Linked DNA regions of Oryzias latipes. The protein of the gene in region 1 purifies or fractionates together with the protein of each later gene. This does not show direct contact. Links are inferred from orthologs where the notes say so. Each region holds a gene or a part of one and is shown on either strand. Other genes may lie near its edges.

Region 1 (4,122 bases):
ACAACTGTGACCTTCTGCCACAACAGTGGAACGTTAATAATAATGCCATTAACCTCTGTTCTCCAAATAAAACCGACCAAAATTCAGACTGAAACCAAATGTTCATGTAGTCTCAGAAACTATACCAGAGTTGAAACACATCACAGAATGCTGATCTGCAGACTAAAACCTAGACGGATGGACAGTCTTGGTAAAACGGAGGTTTTTGGGAAGCAGAGTTTCCCTCCATTCAAAGCGGTTAAAGAGCTCAGCAATGCTTCTCGTTAGCCAGTCAGTTTCTGTCCATAAAGCCAGACAGTTCTGCTTCTCTCACCTTGAGGAGGACAAAAAACTCAAAAACTCTCCTGAAAGACGGAGGGAAGAGACGGGCGTAGGTAACAGCCATCTTGAAAAACAGCGCGTGGAAGAGGCGGTCGCGGACATTGATGAGGGGGTTCTGGTTGATGTTGGGGTTTCGAATCCTGTTGGGTCCAATGTTGTTGTTCAGAGGGACGTTATTGGCTTGGTTCTCGGACATGGTCACTGAGGATTCTGGTTGCAAGACACGGGCCCACTGGCTGGCTCTAAGTGAGCATGGTGGCTCAATACAGCCTCAGAGAGAAGGCGGAGCTCTGGCCGGAGTAGAGTCAACAGGGGAAGCTCCACCGAGAGCTGCAAATGACAAGAAACAAAGAACTTTGATTACTGATCTATCAGGAGTTGACTGAACTTAGATCAGGTTAACCCTTGTGCCATCTTAGATGACCCCCCGTCCTTCCATTGACGTGTTCTCTCTACCATGACAAAGGTGGAAAGATTTCATGTAATCCATGGACACCAGTGAAGATCACAAATCATTGAAGAAAAAAGGTTCAGAGCACTGTCTAGTGGGTCCAGATGACCCAACTCCCAATATTAAAGTGCCTAGGATAGCACAAGGGTTACGCCAAGGCTTCGGAGGAGCTATAAATATGAGGCATGTTTGAGAAAAATCATTAATGACCAGGGCTGTAAAGTGTATCCAAGTACTCGGATATATTTCCCTGAATGTACTAGTACAAATATTTGCAACGCTGATTTGTGATCTTCATGAATCTATGAGAGTGTCATAGAGAGTGTTATTCTTCAATGCAGAATAATGTTGGATTTTAATGATATGAACTGAACACAGCTGCATGAACCACTGAGACCTGAAGTAAATAAAACTTCAAAGTAAAGTGTTGGTTCTCATTTTCAAAGTAAAGCTATCCACTTTTTTCACAATATTAATATTCATAGGAAATATTGGACAACATACATAAAACTGTAATTTAATTGATGATGAAAAAAATAGACAAAATGTCATTTTACTCAAATAAGTCTATTTATTTATTTTGTTTTGTATTTTCTTTTGCTTTGCTAATGACTTTGCTAATGCTTCAAAATGAAAGGTAATTTCATAATAAACTGCAGCTTGTCAGAAATAAAACCAGTAAATTACATTGGAAATGGATTTCTATTGTTATTACAGCTGGGCTGCACGATGTGAGGAAAACACGCAATGGTAGTGATCAGTACTGGCATGATGATATGACTTGCAAAACATGAATAATTAGAGAAAACAAAAAACATACATCATTTCCATTTCACTGCCACAGTGTAAGTTAAATAAAGGTCAACATAACTTACATTTTCTCTAAATGCCCATCATCTACAAAGGAGATGGGCATCCAGCTCCAATGCTTAAAGGGCTGAATTCTATTTGTTAGAAACTTCAAGCTGAGATTGTTTCAGCATGTGTGTAAACATTTAGGTCCGTATTTATCACACAGGCCAACATGACAGTGACAGTAAGGTTATGGTTTTTGTGCGAGCCCAATTGCAGCAAAGCAAGCTATAGTTTGGTCAAATCCTCAGACCTTAGGAAGACTTTGCTGATTGTTATTTAACGTTTTTTTAGGTTTTTAGTGACACCGCTTTAGGCAGACAGGGGCAGTAGTGTCTGTTGTTGAGCTCATTACATTGCCTTCACTTTTTATTGCTTTATTTTGTTGACTTTGGTCATTCTGATGCTTTCAATAACATCACGTTTAAGCAGATGACCAAGAACTGGACCTGTCTTTTTGGTCCTAACTTGAAGGCGTCGGTCGGTCGGTAATTCAAACATCAGTGAGTCCTGAATAAAGACGGTTCACCAACTTCACTTCCAAACTTCCTGTGAGCTCACGTGACCTGGGAAGGCGTTCCTCCTCCACCTGTCCGTATGTTCTGAACCTGAATCAGTCCCAACTACAGTACCAACCAGAACCGTCAGCCCAGACCTGCTGTTGTGCTGATCAGCATGTTGTGCTCTCGTGGCGCATCGATCAGCTGACGTGTTGTGGTCAACAGTCTCGGGCGCCGTCTCTCTCGGGCCTTGCTGCCTTTACTCTTGCCCCGCAGCTGAGACTCCTCCAGCGGACTTACCAGCCAATGACTCCGAATTATCGAGTCCGTGTCAACGTAAACCAGCTCTTCTCGGCGTTTGGATCAGGCCATAAGGCTGAAGCCCAGCAGCTCGAAGCGGACCTCCGCGAAGACGACGAAAGACAGGCTACACAAGCTAGCAGCTAACCCCAGTTAACCTGCGGAACTCGCATTAAACTCACGTTTTCTACGTCAAAGTTTACATAGGCTGGAAACTCAAAATGTTGAAGTAAACTTCAGAAAGGTGTAACTTTCTAATAGGCAAAAATGACCTGTCGGCGTTAAATGACCGAGCTAACGGATGCTGTTATCAAAACCACGGATAGAGCGGAAGTACGGATGTCGGACGCTCAGCCTTCGACCTGCGCGCTGTCTGACAGGAGTTGTTTTTCGCTTTCCTGCATTTTGTCTGCAAAGACTTTTTCCTCGTCTTTGACTGATGATTCATGGCACAAAAAAACCACACAAAAAAACAACAGCATTCAACCCATTGTTTATGGAAGCGATTCTGTAGCATAATTAAAAATAAAAGTCAAAACTAGAAATGCTTTTTCATTTTCAAAATGAAGCTGCATTTTTTGACTCAAAACGAAAATGAAAAAGCAATCCACCAAAATGCTTTTTCATTTTCTTCTTCAACACCGTTCATTCTGTCACTTAATTAAAATGATAATGAAAATGGTATTTGACATTTCATTCTCAAAACGTTCTCTGGTAAATGTTTAACAAAATTCATTTAGAAATGTCTAATTTGACAAAATGGATTAATAGAAATGCAAAAATTCATTTTGAAAATGGTATTCTAGTATTGACTTTTCTGGTATTGACTTTAATTTTTATTTATGCTACAGAGTCGCTTCCATAATTGTTTTCTTGTTTCTCTTGATTTATTTGGTTGAATGCTGTAAACCACTGTTTCTTTTTCATAGCATATTCTGCCGTTTTTCTGCACTTAACTCCTTCTACAATTTTTCACCTATTTTAACCACTCAACTATTACAATGTTCAGCTTATTCCTTCCAGCTATGACTTTAGGTCCTATGAATCTTTGAACTCTTCAAGATAGTCCATGATTTCTGGCTCCATTTAAATACATGTGGAATCCTTGAAAACATTTGCTTCTTTCAACCATTATAACTTCAACATAATTTTAGCTAGACACCATTCAAACGTAAAATGCTCATAAGGCTTTGGACTATAACATGTTTTGAAATCATTATGGGATGGCGACACGACCTACGGTTTGAACTGAACATATTGAAAACCACTCAATATGGACATATAAAGAATTTCGGCATTGTTGAGTAAGCCCAGGGGTAGTTGGCATGGTTAGCAAACAACCTCAGCCATTTCTTCAGCAAGATAACATTCAACCCTGCATTCTGGTAATGCAGCTCCTTTTAGATAACCCTTCAATTTTTATATTTAAAATTCCAGCAAAGAGACTTCAGCGGATCATCAAAAGGACAAGATTCAAGGAGCTGCAGACCTCCAGAAAGCCTGGAATGAGGTGGAGGAACAGCTTCAAGAACCTCCACCTTCAGGAGACGCATCCAACTGTCGGGTTCATCGGGTCAAGAAACTTCTTATTCTAATATTGTTTTTTTTTAGAAAGGGTCTGCATGATGCTTTTTTTTAAATCCAAATTAGTAATTCTACATTATTAAAACTTTATTTATACAGATTGATCTCTTGAGA
Region 2 (4,273 bases), on another chromosome or scaffold:
TAAAAACGTTTTTTTTCCCTTGATGAAAACAGTCAAATTGAGACATAAAGAAAAAACTGTGATAAATTGTGTTTTTATTTTTTAAATATATACAAAAAAATGTTTAAAGTGTACAAAAAAGCTGCTTTATGACTTTGAAAAAATAAATGTAAAAAAAATGTGAATACAAATTTGAATGTAAAGTTTTGTTCAGGTGAAATTAATTGTTTTAGAGCAATACAGATTGATAAAAACTACATTTAAAAACTTTTTCTGTTTCATTCTTGAGTTACACATTACACTACACAAATTTGTCTTTTTTGATTAACAGTTAAAATTGAAACCATGTTTTTTTGCTGTATATTCTAGTAAAAAAACTATCACTGTTGTCATTTTTTCTATATTTCCAGGGGCGCAAAAAGTAGGTATGCAGCACATGATTGGTATGGGGGCGCCGGCCAAAGGGGGCGCCAAACCGATGTTATTACAATTATTTATAGTCCGTATTTTTTAATTTCCCACCTGTTTGTGCACTTATATTTACATGATATGGTCAGTAACAGAAGCACATCGTAACTGATTGGGTGCCCCCACGGCAGTTTTCATAATAAATAAATAAAATCATGCATTAGCAAGACGTTCAATTTATTTTAAACATGAAATAATTGTTGGTTGGCCATATGATTTAGTGGAGAAGAACACAGACAAGAGGTGAAGGAGACAGACGTGAGGTTGGTGATGCATCTGATATACAAGAGAGCAGAAATGACTTCAGGTAGGAATAATTAAACTATTGAAGTCACAAAAACCTAGATGCTCATTCTGGTTTAAGCTTCTGCTGACCACCTGTTCACTTATTTTAGGAAAACAAGTGCAGACATACATGACAAGTCAGTCCCAACAGAGAAGAATAAGGAGAGAGGTTCAGATGATGATGATGATAGAGAGAAAGAGAGACGATCAGCTGATGATGAAGAGGGAGAAGAACAGAGAGGTGCAGAGGAGAGAGCCGGGGCCAGGCTTTACTCAGAAGATCCTTCTGAATGAGCTTCACCACACAAATTTGGGGAATCATTGAGGCAATACACGGTTGTAAATAGCTCACTAAAATATTCTGATACTCCAAGATCAGATAAGAAGTAATGAGATGTACACAGTTAAACAATAAAGGTGTTGTTTAGATAGCTTTAGGAGGGGTGGATGAGATGTTTTTTTAATGTGCATTTATGTCTGTGTGCGTGGGGGGGGGGGGGGGGGGTAATGAGGCCGCATGTGAAATTAGGTAGTTGCGCCCCTGTTTATTTCTTCAAGGTTTTTATTACGTTTATGATTTTTTTTTAAATGTATGCACGCTAAAAACTTCTCGGTTATTTAAAGAAAAGTTTTAAACTTTTTTCTATAAAGTTCGTTTTAAAGAAATTATTAAGGGTTGTTGGCTATTTCGTGAATATTCTGCCCCGCCTTCTTTCTTTTGACCAGGAACTAACTTGTCGCGTGCTTGTGAAGCAGCGGATATGACGTCACATCATGTAAGAATATTTTTCCTAACTCAGAACTTCAACTTATGGTTTGCCGCTGTGATTCAATTTGGACGTAGATATCAGACTGGTTTATAATTTAAACTGTTTTTCTGTAGTACTTTTTATTGTTTGTTTATTTTCGTAGTAAAGTATACGTCAGTGGGTAAAAACCCGTCTTTACGGCTTTGTTTGCTAGCATTAGCCTGGAATTAAACGGACCGAGCGACCAACTGCGAAAATTCATTGAAACTCCGTGACTCATTGTCTTCGTTTGCTATCCAGTGGGGCCTTCATATGTGCGAGTTTTGAGGCAAGTTCGTTAGTGTTGGCTGTGAGGATCCAGATTTGATTATGGCCGCGGCTGCCCCCTCAGCCCCAGCCTCTGGCTCCACGGCTGAAAGCACAACTTCGGGATCGAGCAGCTCGGCCGCAGCGGAGGGAGGCAGCCAGGACAGCACCTTCGAGTGTAACATCTGCCTGGACACCGCGAAAGATGCTGTGATCAGTCTTTGCGGACACCTCTTCTGGTAAGTTACCAGCTATTCTTTACTATGTTTACATGGTTGAAATTCCTCCTAGTATTTGTTTGAGACTGTAGTTCTGCATGTGTAACAAGTAAAATACATGAATGTAAACATCAGTAAAGCAAACACACCAAAAAAAATTCCCCATATAGCTATACAACTGTGTTCTGTTGCCTTTTGGTCTCAAAAGTATAATTAAATTGTAAGGGTTAGGATCGTTAATGTTATCAACAGTCCTTGGGAACCCCCACTTCTTTTGGGTGCCCTCCTCCTGGGCAGGGGTGCCTGGCCCCGCTTTGCCCTCTCCTGGACCTCCCATGGGCTGGGTGGGTGGCTGCCTGGAGCATGGGGTGGGTCTCCCTTGGGTGGGGGGATGCTCAGAAACGAACTCCTGGGTGGTGGGCTGCTCATCTGGGGCTTGGGTGCTCTCCTATTGGGGGGCTATTCTTCTGGTCGGGCTGGGCCTTGCACTCTCTTTTCCCCTTTGCCTCCCTGCTGTCTGGCATTGGGGGGGGGCTGTGGCGATCCTGCTGGCCCTGGCCTGGGTGGCAGATGTGATTGCCCGGCCGGCAGTTTTTCTTTATCTGCTATATCATGCGGGAGTTGGGGGTCCTGACTACCACTGCTGCTTCAGCCGGGGTCTTGGGGTGGGGATGACTGGGCACTCTCTCTCTTTTTTTTTTTACATTCCCTCATCCACCTCAGAAGGACATAAACCTCTCTCTTCTTCCCTCTTCTTCTTTTCTGTCCGGTCCAACAAAAAACGGTTTCAAATATATTTAATATAAATAAAGTTAAGTCTAAATTACCGAAGTGGTATATTAAAATATTCATCTTGTGTGTTAGAAGATTCATAACCCCCTGTTGTACCGTAATGTCTGACACAAGAGGCCTTCAGCTCTCATCTGTTTGCTCAGCTGTTGAACAGGAAAAGTAAAAAAAAAAGGATAGTTAAAACCATATTTTTTTCAAGATAAAAATAATAATTTTTTGCATATTTTGCCAGAGAATCTAATCACATGAGAAATTCTCCAAAAACTGCAGGATGATAAATAAAAGGAACTTGAACATATTGTTTTCCTATTGAGTTATGCGTGCTGATAAGATTGTATTTAAAAGAATGTCAATGTTTTTAAGTACAAGGGAGCCAATTAAACTGTGAATAGAGCTTCGTAGAATAGTTTATGAAGCTTATCTGTGGTTAACTCAGATTTTTGACCTGAAGTTGTTTTGTAACATAAAGAAATCAATAGGTTTGGTCATACGACTGAAGAATTTAGCTAAACGTCATGTTACTACTTGCAGCTAACAAACTGATATTTCAGAAGCATCTCTGAAAGTTGTAGTTCTGGAGTTAGATAACTGGTACATCGCCTGTCCGTCCTGGGGAGGATCCCTCCTTCATGTGGACACCCCTGAGAGTTCTTCTTTTTTTACGGAGTCCGTTTGTTTTAGGAGTTTTTCCTTACCATGAAGGAGGGGTCTGAGGGCAGAGATGCCCTGTTTAGTTTAATCTGTTTAGTTGATTCAGTTTAAAATTTTCCTATTGAATTCAATATATTTTTGATCCTTTTATTTTATGTTTACTTTACAATTACTGGTACGAAGCCCATTGAGATAACTGTTGTTGGGATTTTGGGCTGTACAAATAAAATGTAATTGAATTGAAAGCAACAGGAAGCCTCATTGTAAATCTGCGTACAATACCGAAGTGTAGAGACTCACCAGAAATAGACTTCCAAGTTTAAATCAGGTCCTGGGTGTCTTAAGCTGCATAGAAACTTCTAAAATTCCACTATTTTTTCTCAAATTAATGTTTTTGTGTTTTCTGTAAATAAATTCCATATGTTATTTATCTCAGCGACTTCAGTCTTGTGTCGTGCAGCATTTGGGTAGTGTATAAAAAAGGCAGATCCAATGGAACAATAAAGCTTTAGAAAAAAATATGTGTTATTCTGTTTAATGTTTTTTTGTAAAGGGCCAATTCAGTACCAGGTTGTCTTAAAGTTTAGAGAAAGATCAAAGTCTAAAAGTTACATTTTGAATTTTTATAATTTGAATAATAGCACAATTACATTTCCGTGTGTCCTTTATAAACATTTGGCAAATTACATAAGGGAATTTTAAGTGTAATGCTCTGTACAGATCTTCTTTAATCAGGCTTGTATTATTATTTTAATGAATGAAATGTGATCTCTATTCTTTTAACTTCTATAGTTGGCCGTGTTTGCATCAGGTAAGCAGCTTTGT
Region 3 (4,286 bases), on another chromosome or scaffold:
ATTAACCACAGTTTTTCCGACTGGGCGGTGTCCTGTCTGACGTGGTGCTGAGTGGTGTGGGAGCCCCACAGGGCACTGTGCTCTCTCCATTTCTGTTCACCTTATACACCTCAGATTTTTAGCACAACTCAGAGTCATGTCACCTACAGAAATTCTCTGATGACTCTGTGGTTGTGGGGTGTATAAGCGGTGGACAGGAGGAGGAGTACAGGAGGCTGGTGGATGGATTTGTGGAGTGGGCTGGAGAGAATCACCTGCTGCTCAACGTGGACAAGACCAGGGAAATGGTGATCGACTTCCGGAGGAAAAGGACTGTCTTACAACGCCTCTGCATGGGCAAGGATGTAGAAGCGGTGGAGGAGTATAAATATCTGGGTGTGACTATCGACAGCAGACTGAGCTGGAGGAGCCACAGCACTGCTGTGTACAAGAAGGCCTGCAGCAGACTCTACTTCCTTAGGAAGCTGAGGTCCTTTAATGTGTGCAGCAAGATGCTGGGGATCTTCTACCAGTCTGTGGTAGCCAGCACCCTGTTCTCCTCCTTGGTCTGCTGGGGAAGCAGCATTGCAGTCAGTGACACCAACAGACTGAACAAGCTGATCAGGAAGGCGGGTTCTGTCATTGGCTGCAAACAGGACACCTTTGAAGCAGTGATGGAGAGGAGGTCCCTGAACAGACTCCTTTCAATCATGGACAACCCAGAGCATCCTCTTCACCCTCTTCTGAACAAACAGCGGAGCTCCTTCTCTAGGAGGCTCAGACAGCTCCGCTCCAAAACTGCCCAGTACCAAAAGTCATTCATACCCAATGCAATAACCCTGTACAACACACAATGCAAAAAATAACCTTTGCACATCTTTTATTACCTATTTATTTAGTTGTTTTCTATTTTGCACATTTCTTTTGCACATCTTCTACTTGCACTGTTCTGTAAATAGCTTTTTAAATTATAATACCTTGATGTCTGTATTTATGCTACATTTTCTTGTTCTTGTTTTTTTTTTTTTTTTTTTTTTACTTAATTCTTAGTCTTTTTTCCCCTCTGCTGTCAGTTGCTATGGTGACAAACAAATTTCCCACGTGTGGGATCAATAAAGTATCTCTGATTCTGATAACACCTTGAAATGATGTATTAAAAGGTAAAGGTTGAATTAGGCAGCTGACTTTAGGCAGATTAAGTAAACTAGTCGTTACATAAGAGATCTATTTTGAAACTTCAAGGATACAGGAACTATGAGGCAAATTGAGTCTCTCCCCGTGTGAGTTTAAACCACCATTACGATATGATTGACAATGTGTTTTATAAAACAATTGAATGTAATGATCGAGAAAGCTTACGTTTTTTCACTTTTTGACTGTTCCCTTTAGGGAATGTCTCCGACCATTTAAGCTGTGTGCATCTTTGCTCACACCAACCACTTCTCACTCCACGAACGTCTTTGGTCTGTCTTTCATCCACCATAAGGTTTCTCATTCATTTCTGATCAACGGCCTGAACGTGTGGTGTTTCACCAAGTACCAGCAGATGGCAGCATGCCACCATCATCGCGTTGGTTCTACCGGGAGGCCAGAAGAAGAAGCGTGAACAGGAAGTGACCATCTGGCGAACATTAGCCTGGAAGCCCACGGGCTAACAACTCATGATATGACGTTTGGACCTTAATCAGTGAGTTTCAAGTCTGTCTGTTTGTTCCGAGGCTTCCTCTTAGCCTCTGTTTGGGTCCAGCTCTAAACAAGGTTCGGTCAGGTTGTTCGTATCCCGCTCTGAACTCGTTCTCTTGTCAGAGTTGTTAGTTAGCTTCTCGGAACTTAGGTTCCGATAAAGCCAGGTTACACTAGAGACCATGGTTTGGTTCGAGTTGCATGTTTGGATCTGCACATACATAGTCCGGCCGTCCACCCTCCAGGTGAGATGTGCTTCTGTGTGTCACGTGACGTGATTAACAGGTGGCATTACAGGGCGCGTGGGGAGCTGACCTCAGTTTGACAACGCTCAGACATCGAGGAAAGATCACAGGTGCGGCCGCAGTGTAAAAGTGAAATAATGAGGGTTTGGCTGGGTAACAGTCATCTTAGTGAGGCAGTTTAGAACGGTTCAGGGTCCGGGAATACTTTGAAAATGCCACGTGGGTTATACTGGGAGTTTGTTTACAAAAAGAACAGGTGAGTGCGGAGAGGGCTTCTTCAACCACGTCATCATAGTTGTACTGCTCGCATTTTAAAGTTTCCTGGGTTTTTTTTCTTCATAATACTTTTATTAGGGCACATTGAATAAATACCTATGTAAACTGAAGCAGCACTTAAATGCTAACTGTGTTTGATACATTCAATCAAAAAATGAACAAGTAAAAGTATAAAAAGGAAACACGTTGAAAATAGATCAAAAGATCAGGCTGGTTATGGTTAGTCCGGTCAATTCTGAGTTGGTTACATTCACACGGAAAGCTAAGAGTTATTATCGGTGGTGCTCTATGACAAATGAAACTCGTGATGGCTGACGCTAAGCTCCGCCTCCTGTTTGCAGGTGTGTCATCGTGGGCGATGGCTCTAATCGAAGGTGTCGGCGATGAGGTGACGCTGCTCTTTGGCTCACTGCTGGTGTTGTTGGTGTTGCTGCTGGCATGGATCTCCACCCACACCTCTGAGCCCCCAGAGCACCTGTTCAATGCCTCTACAGACCCCACCCCCACAGAAGGCACCGTCTCTGCCCCACAGGACACGCCCCTGTCCTCCACCAGCAGCAGCTCCTTGTCTTTCTCTCCAACGTCATCCTCATCTTCAGCTGCCAGCTCTGTGAATGACAGCGTCCCGTCAGAGGCTCCACCCACGACCTCCGCCACACAGGAAGGTAGTGAGGTGGGGGGAGGAGTCAGACACAGAGCAGGGGGGGAGCCATTGTCCTCCCCAAGAAACATGGTGGTCAGACTAAAATTTCTGAACGACACAGAGAGAACGGCTCAAGTCAAACCACAAGACACCATCGGATACATCAAACGGTAACTTTTCTATCGTATCTATCAGTTTACTTTATTGTACTGCACTACATGGTATTACACTGCACCACACTTCACTGTACTACACCGTACTTTATTCTACTTTTACGTACTTCATTGCAGTACAATTTAACACAGTGTACTGCACTGCAATGGACCATATCACACCATACTTGTCTGTACTCGGTACTGCAATATACCACACTATTATCTATGTAGTATACAGTATTTCACCGTCCTTTACTGTACTTCATTGTACTACATCTTACTACACAGTACTAAAATAGGCTTCAGTGTACAGCACTGTACTACATTGCATTACATTGTACTTACTGTACAACACTGTATTCACTGTTTTATATTCTAGTATACCATCACACTACACTGGAATAAACTGTAATACATTGTACTGGACTGTAGTTTACAACACTAAACTCTAATTCACCATCCCATACACTGAACCATACTGTACAACACAACACAAAGGACTGCATTACTGTAATACGGTGCACTTTACCATACTATATTGCACTACAGAATTGCCACCTTATTCGCGCAGGGGGGGGTCAGAGGCACCCGGAAATACTGGAAGCACCCCCAACCCCTGTGGGGGAAGAATGTCCGCCACAGATCCTCACTCATCAAAAACCCTTCTGAAATATTTCTGATACTTTATAAAACATTGAACATTGGAATATTGCTCAACATGAAGAGTTTTTTTTTATTCAGATCAATAGACTGATACTTTATATCACACATTAGGAGTGTCTCTCTGTCTCATGCTTCCTCCTTCATCAGTTAAGTGTGAGAGGGCATCTTCTTCCTCAAGAGGCTGGTTTCCATCATTCATTCATTGGGATGATAATTATTCTCCGCAATTATCTTCCTCAGCGTATCAGGATTGTTTTTGCCCACTTCTGAGTCAGATGATGCTATTTCTGCATGCAGGGACACAAACTTCGGCTGCAGTTCTGTATGTCAGTTTAGATCTTTATTATGAAGCTGCTGAGGGCGTGTGGAAGAAATCTGGTTCATCAAACTTTGAGACAGGAAGATGTGGGACGTCTGTCGGTCACGTTTGCTTCATGAATTGAAGCAAACATCGTGAGGACCCCACAGGAGGACACGCATCCAGCAAAGAAGGCCTTTCTGGTTCTTCTCAATGTTTCAGGAATACAATAGGAATCTTGAAGCTGCAGCTCTGTCTGCAACATTTCTCCTCCTCATCATCATCATCATGGTTCATAGCAGCAGTTATACGTAACCACAGAATGCTGGATAAATGCAGCTGAA
Region 4 (4,089 bases), on another chromosome or scaffold:
ATGGAGAACTGGACTGAGCGAGTGTGACATCAGCAATAAAAAATGACTAACCAAATGAAGTCAATTCAGTCGCCATTCTTCCACCACATGTCCGTCACCATGTTGGAGCCAGACGTCCTCAGTAAGCTGTGATTGGTCCGTGTCGGTCCTAGTCTACATTTCTATGGCAACCTATCTCTGCAATCAGGAGTGAGCATGATAGAAGGCCACACCCCTTCCACTGAAAGCAGGTTCAGGAGAGTCTGTCAATCAAATGCTTCGAAGGTTCAACACAAGGCCACCTACTTTTATTGAAGCATCTGATTGGTCAGTTTATAATTTGAATAACTAGTGCTACAGCAAAAATATTAAACATTGTTTTAGGATTAGCAAAAACACGTTAATAAAGGGTAGCAGAGCAAGAATGGTTATTTTGATAAGTAATAGCTGTTAATTTCTCAATAGAAGTCTATAGGATTTCGGCTTTTTGGGACCAGCGGGTACTTTCTATTTGGAGCACAAGCAGCAACTCAGTCCAGTTCTCACATACAGTCAATGGCTTTTACGCAATAAAAAACAAAAAGGATGTTAAACCTTGTTTGTTGCACGCCACCAGGAGAGTTGGGGTGTTTCGGCAGATCACGCTATCGGTCAGCAGGACGTACAGAAACTCGGCTACGTCTCTGACTTCTTTCTGGAAAATGGCGCTGTCCACCACAAACACGATAGCTCTGAGGATAGAAAGGAGGAGTCATTCCAAGTGTCACCATGACGCAAATGCATGTGCTATGAATGCCCAAACTGTAATCATAGAGACAAAATCCCTTTTCTGATTTGGTTCAAAGGCACTTGAGCTGAGTTTCAAACAAGAACTTTACAGTAAAAGGGAAGAACACAAAATCTAAAAGCAGTGCTGGAACAGATCACATTTCTACGGGTTTCGGCTTCACTTCTATTAATTCACACAGATTTTGGAATTTCTGAACACACAAAGCATCAAAAAGATTAGCATCATTTTATCTTAAATACATCCCAGTTTCCATATATTCCAGACAGGAATCTTCATTCTAAATCAGCAAGATTAGAGGTTAATCTCAAAAGTTTCACAATTAGAATCGGTGGCAGAGCCTTAAGACATCATGTTAGTCCAAGAGTTTGGGAGGCAGACGCTGTGTTGAAAACGTACTCGGCCCTGTCTGCACTCTCATCTGCACGTATGTATGTTTAAGGCCCATTCCAATTATCTTCTGATCTATTGTAAACTTCTTCCTTGTGTTTTTTTTTTATTAGGATTATGCTGAAGGAGCAGCAGGAGTTACTTAGAAATTGTGGGCTGGGGCCATTGGCACAGAGTAAGCATGGCCTGACTTCCCATGATCCCTTTCTTTATACGCTCTCCCGCTATCTTAAAACACCAAGCTAACATTAGTGGTGCATCAAAAAAAATATATTTTTTCATCTGCTCCTGATTCACAACGATTTAAATAAAGAAATACTCAGAAATGTAGTTTAGTAGTTTTTTTTTTTAAATGTCCTCCATCAGGAGAAAAATAAATCTACAAGAACATGTTAAAACCCCAATTTTTATTGGAGTGGGTCTTTAATCAGTTGTGGTATATGGTCCCATCAACCAAATCTTCCGCTGGAGGTTTCTAACAATGTTTTGATTTAGAAGTTTTCCTCTCCATACTTGTTCATTTGCGTGCTCAGAAGGGGGGATTACATCAAAAAAATCCTTTAATCTCATAGCCACCTATTATCCTTCAATCTGTCCGAACTGTAATGATCTGGACTGAAGTGAATTATAAGAATAACGGCTTTTATAACTGTTTGTTTACCCTATTAAGTCAACCCTAAGTGTGTTTGACATGAAACAATCCAGCCATTGCGTTTAGCATCTCACCTGGCTGCTGACTTGAACTTCTCCAGGTACTGAGCCCGGAGACTGTCATGACCTGGCAGGTCTATCAGAGTCCAAGTTGTGCCCTGGAATCAGAAGACGACACAATCCGTTGAGAAACCAGCCCACATGGCTTGATATGTTGTTGTTTTGATGTCTTAACCTCACCTTATCACTTTTGGCTTTATAAGGGGCACTGCTGTCAGTGATGGAGGTCTGTGTTCGCTTGAACTTCCCTGATACTAGCTGTGAAAACAGAAAAGCCACCATCAAAACAGTCCCCTCAGGATCACAGCAGGAGCCAGCGGGTCAGAGGTCAAACCCACCCGACTGAACAGGAGGGTCTTCCCGGAGTCACACAGTCCGACCAGCAGCACGGCGCTCCGGACGGTTTTGCTGGTGAGGAAGTACTTCAGAAAAACTGAAGACAAAAAGCAGAGAGTTTTAATGTTTGTTAGTCTGCAAAGTTTGAATGGCTTCCTGTGAGGCGCAACAGACAGCTGCTAGCTTTAGCTTAGCAGCTAGCTTTCTCCATTTTCAATGCGGCTACAACCGTAAAAGCACAATTAAAATTGTTCATAAACACACATTTGAATGCTAGAACCTGACCCCGCGCAGAAACAAACCCCTCAAACTCCCAACAAACTACTTCCATTGAGCCACATGCCTGGCCTAGTAGCATGCTAAGCTAATCGGTTAACGGTAAGAGACTGACGCAAACTTTACCGCAGGTGATGATGATCGCCGCTAAGGCCACGACGACGCTGATCAGAAAAACTGGGTCTTGCTCTTCAACCTGTTTGCGGACATACTCGATGAATTGTTTAACTGTGTTTTCTAGCATCTTCGCGTCCTCTTTTCCTCCCATGTCTCCACCGACGCTGCGTTCCATCAGCCCCGGATCATCTGAAACGGGACACGTTTCCTTAGCCTGTGTTACGCAACGAACACCAGAGGGCGCTGCTCAGCAGCACTCAGGAAAACAGAAGAAAACTGGAGGTTTTTTAGATACACAATATTAAAGAATTTATTTATCATTTCCACCATAGACCTATGTATTTTTGGTTTGTTTGAACTAAATAAAATATTTATTTCCCCCCTAATTTATCAGCTGTTGATCATCCTTATTTGTTTTTATTGTGATTCTTTTTTGATGAGTTTATTTCATGAGTTGTGTTGTTGTTGCTTGTTTTTGTATACCTCCTAGGGAAATCGTTATCTTTTTTTTTACTTTATGGAATATATATGTTTTTTTATTTTATATATATATATATATATATATATATATATATATATATATATATATATATATATATATATATATATATATATATATATATATATATATATATGTGTGTGTGTGTGTGTGTGTGTGTGTGTGTGTGTGTGTGTGTGTGTGTGTGTGTGTGTGTGTGTGTATGTATGTCTTTTTAAACTCAAAATTCAATAAAAATCAACATGTGATTTTAGAAACACATGTTCCCTGTCAATACAATTGATTAAGGGCTTGTCCCTCAAACTTTGGTCCAATTAATCAAAATCATTTTTTGGATAACGAATTCTGATAGCATTTCACTTTAAATACAGCTTGATGCTGGTTTTCAGAAATTCCCCCATAAAGTAATAGAAACAAGATTAGATGGTTAAAAAAGGTCTTGGTTAAAAAAGGACCTTTTTTAACCATCTAATCTTGTTTCTATTACTTTATGGGGGAATTTCTGAAAACCAGCATCAAGCTGTATTTAAAGTGAAATGCTATCAGAATTCGTTATTGCATATAAACACATGGTTGTGAACACATTTTCAGTTTATTCTTATACCGAAGCAGTTCTTGTTTTTGCCCTTTCCAGTTTTTTCAAACCAAAAGTTTACAATGCCCTGTTTAAACTTTTGGTATGCTGCAAAACTTTAAAACAGTACTCTGGGGTTGTGTGCTTCCGCGGTATTGTTTGCGGTTTAAAAAAATGAAATGCATTAAACTTTTCGGAGCATGAACTGCTTCCTGACATGTTTTTCACATTATTTTATATAAAGACTGAACGTTTGTGGCTCTCAATGGAGACCAGATGCGCTTTTTACGCACTCCGTCTAACCCTGGCAGTCAGCGCGCTTTTTACGCACACGGGATATTTGACTCCTTGCTCTCGGCACGATGTCAAACGTCAGAAACCAAACATATTCTATAGGAAGGAAGAGAAAGAGACTGAATG

The links.
Region 2: the proteins of tmem259 (region 1) and rnf185 purify together in Homo sapiens (affinity purification with mass spectrometry; 3 studies listed by BioGRID and IntAct, counting the BioPlex papers as one, with this or other methods). This does not show direct contact. The link is inferred for Oryzias latipes from reciprocal best matches to the Homo sapiens genes TMEM259 and RNF185.
Region 3: the proteins of tmem259 (region 1) and tmub1 purify together in Homo sapiens (affinity purification with mass spectrometry; 3 studies listed by BioGRID, with this or other methods). This does not show direct contact. The link is inferred for Oryzias latipes from reciprocal best matches to the Homo sapiens genes TMEM259 and TMUB1.
Region 4: the proteins of tmem259 (region 1) and srprb purify together in Homo sapiens (affinity purification with mass spectrometry; 3 studies listed by BioGRID and IntAct, counting the BioPlex papers as one, with this or other methods). This does not show direct contact. The link is inferred for Oryzias latipes from reciprocal best matches to the Homo sapiens genes TMEM259 and SRPRB.

Annotation. Positions count from the first base shown.
Region 1 is NC_019862.2:1,620,139-1,624,260, reverse strand, and holds the start of tmem259 (membralin), read right to left. Parts: upstream 2,845-4,122; 5' UTR 2,425-2,844; intron 652-2,424; 5' UTR 518-651; coding exon 314-517; intron 1-313. UniProt on the Homo sapiens protein: May have a role in the ERAD pathway required for clearance of misfolded proteins in the endoplasmic reticulum (ER). Promotes survival of motor neurons, probably by protecting against ER stress.
Region 2 is NC_019870.2:13,777,177-13,781,449, forward strand, and holds the start of rnf185 (E3 ubiquitin-protein ligase RNF185), read left to right. Parts: upstream 1-1,434; 5' UTR 1,435-1,508; exon of another isoform or gene 1,509-1,781; 5' UTR 1,782-1,850; coding exon 1,851-2,026; intron 2,027-4,240; coding exon 4,241-4,259; intron 4,260-4,273. UniProt on the Homo sapiens protein: E3 ubiquitin-protein ligase that regulates selective mitochondrial autophagy by mediating 'Lys-63'-linked polyubiquitination of BNIP1.
Region 3 is NC_019875.2:10,863,050-10,867,335, reverse strand, and holds the start of tmub1 (transmembrane and ubiquitin-like domain-containing protein 1), read left to right. Parts: upstream 1-1,486; 5' UTR 1,487-1,907; intron 1,908-1,985; exon of another isoform or gene 1,986-2,163; intron 2,164-2,524; 5' UTR 2,525-2,541; coding exon 2,542-2,996; intron 2,997-4,286. UniProt on the Homo sapiens protein: Involved in sterol-regulated ubiquitination and degradation of HMG-CoA reductase HMGCR. Involved in positive regulation of AMPA-selective glutamate receptor GRIA2 recycling to the cell surface.
Region 4 is NC_019871.2:13,914,197-13,918,285, reverse strand, and holds the start of srprb (signal recognition particle receptor subunit beta), read right to left. Parts: upstream 2,819-4,089; 5' UTR 2,772-2,818; coding exon 2,606-2,771; intron 2,301-2,605; coding exon 2,206-2,300; intron 2,126-2,205; coding exon 2,048-2,125; intron 1,966-2,047; coding exon 1,883-1,965; intron 711-1,882; coding exon 574-710; intron 1-573. UniProt on the Homo sapiens protein: Component of the signal recognition particle (SRP) complex receptor (SR). Ensures, in conjunction with the SRP complex, the correct targeting of the nascent secretory proteins to the endoplasmic reticulum membrane system.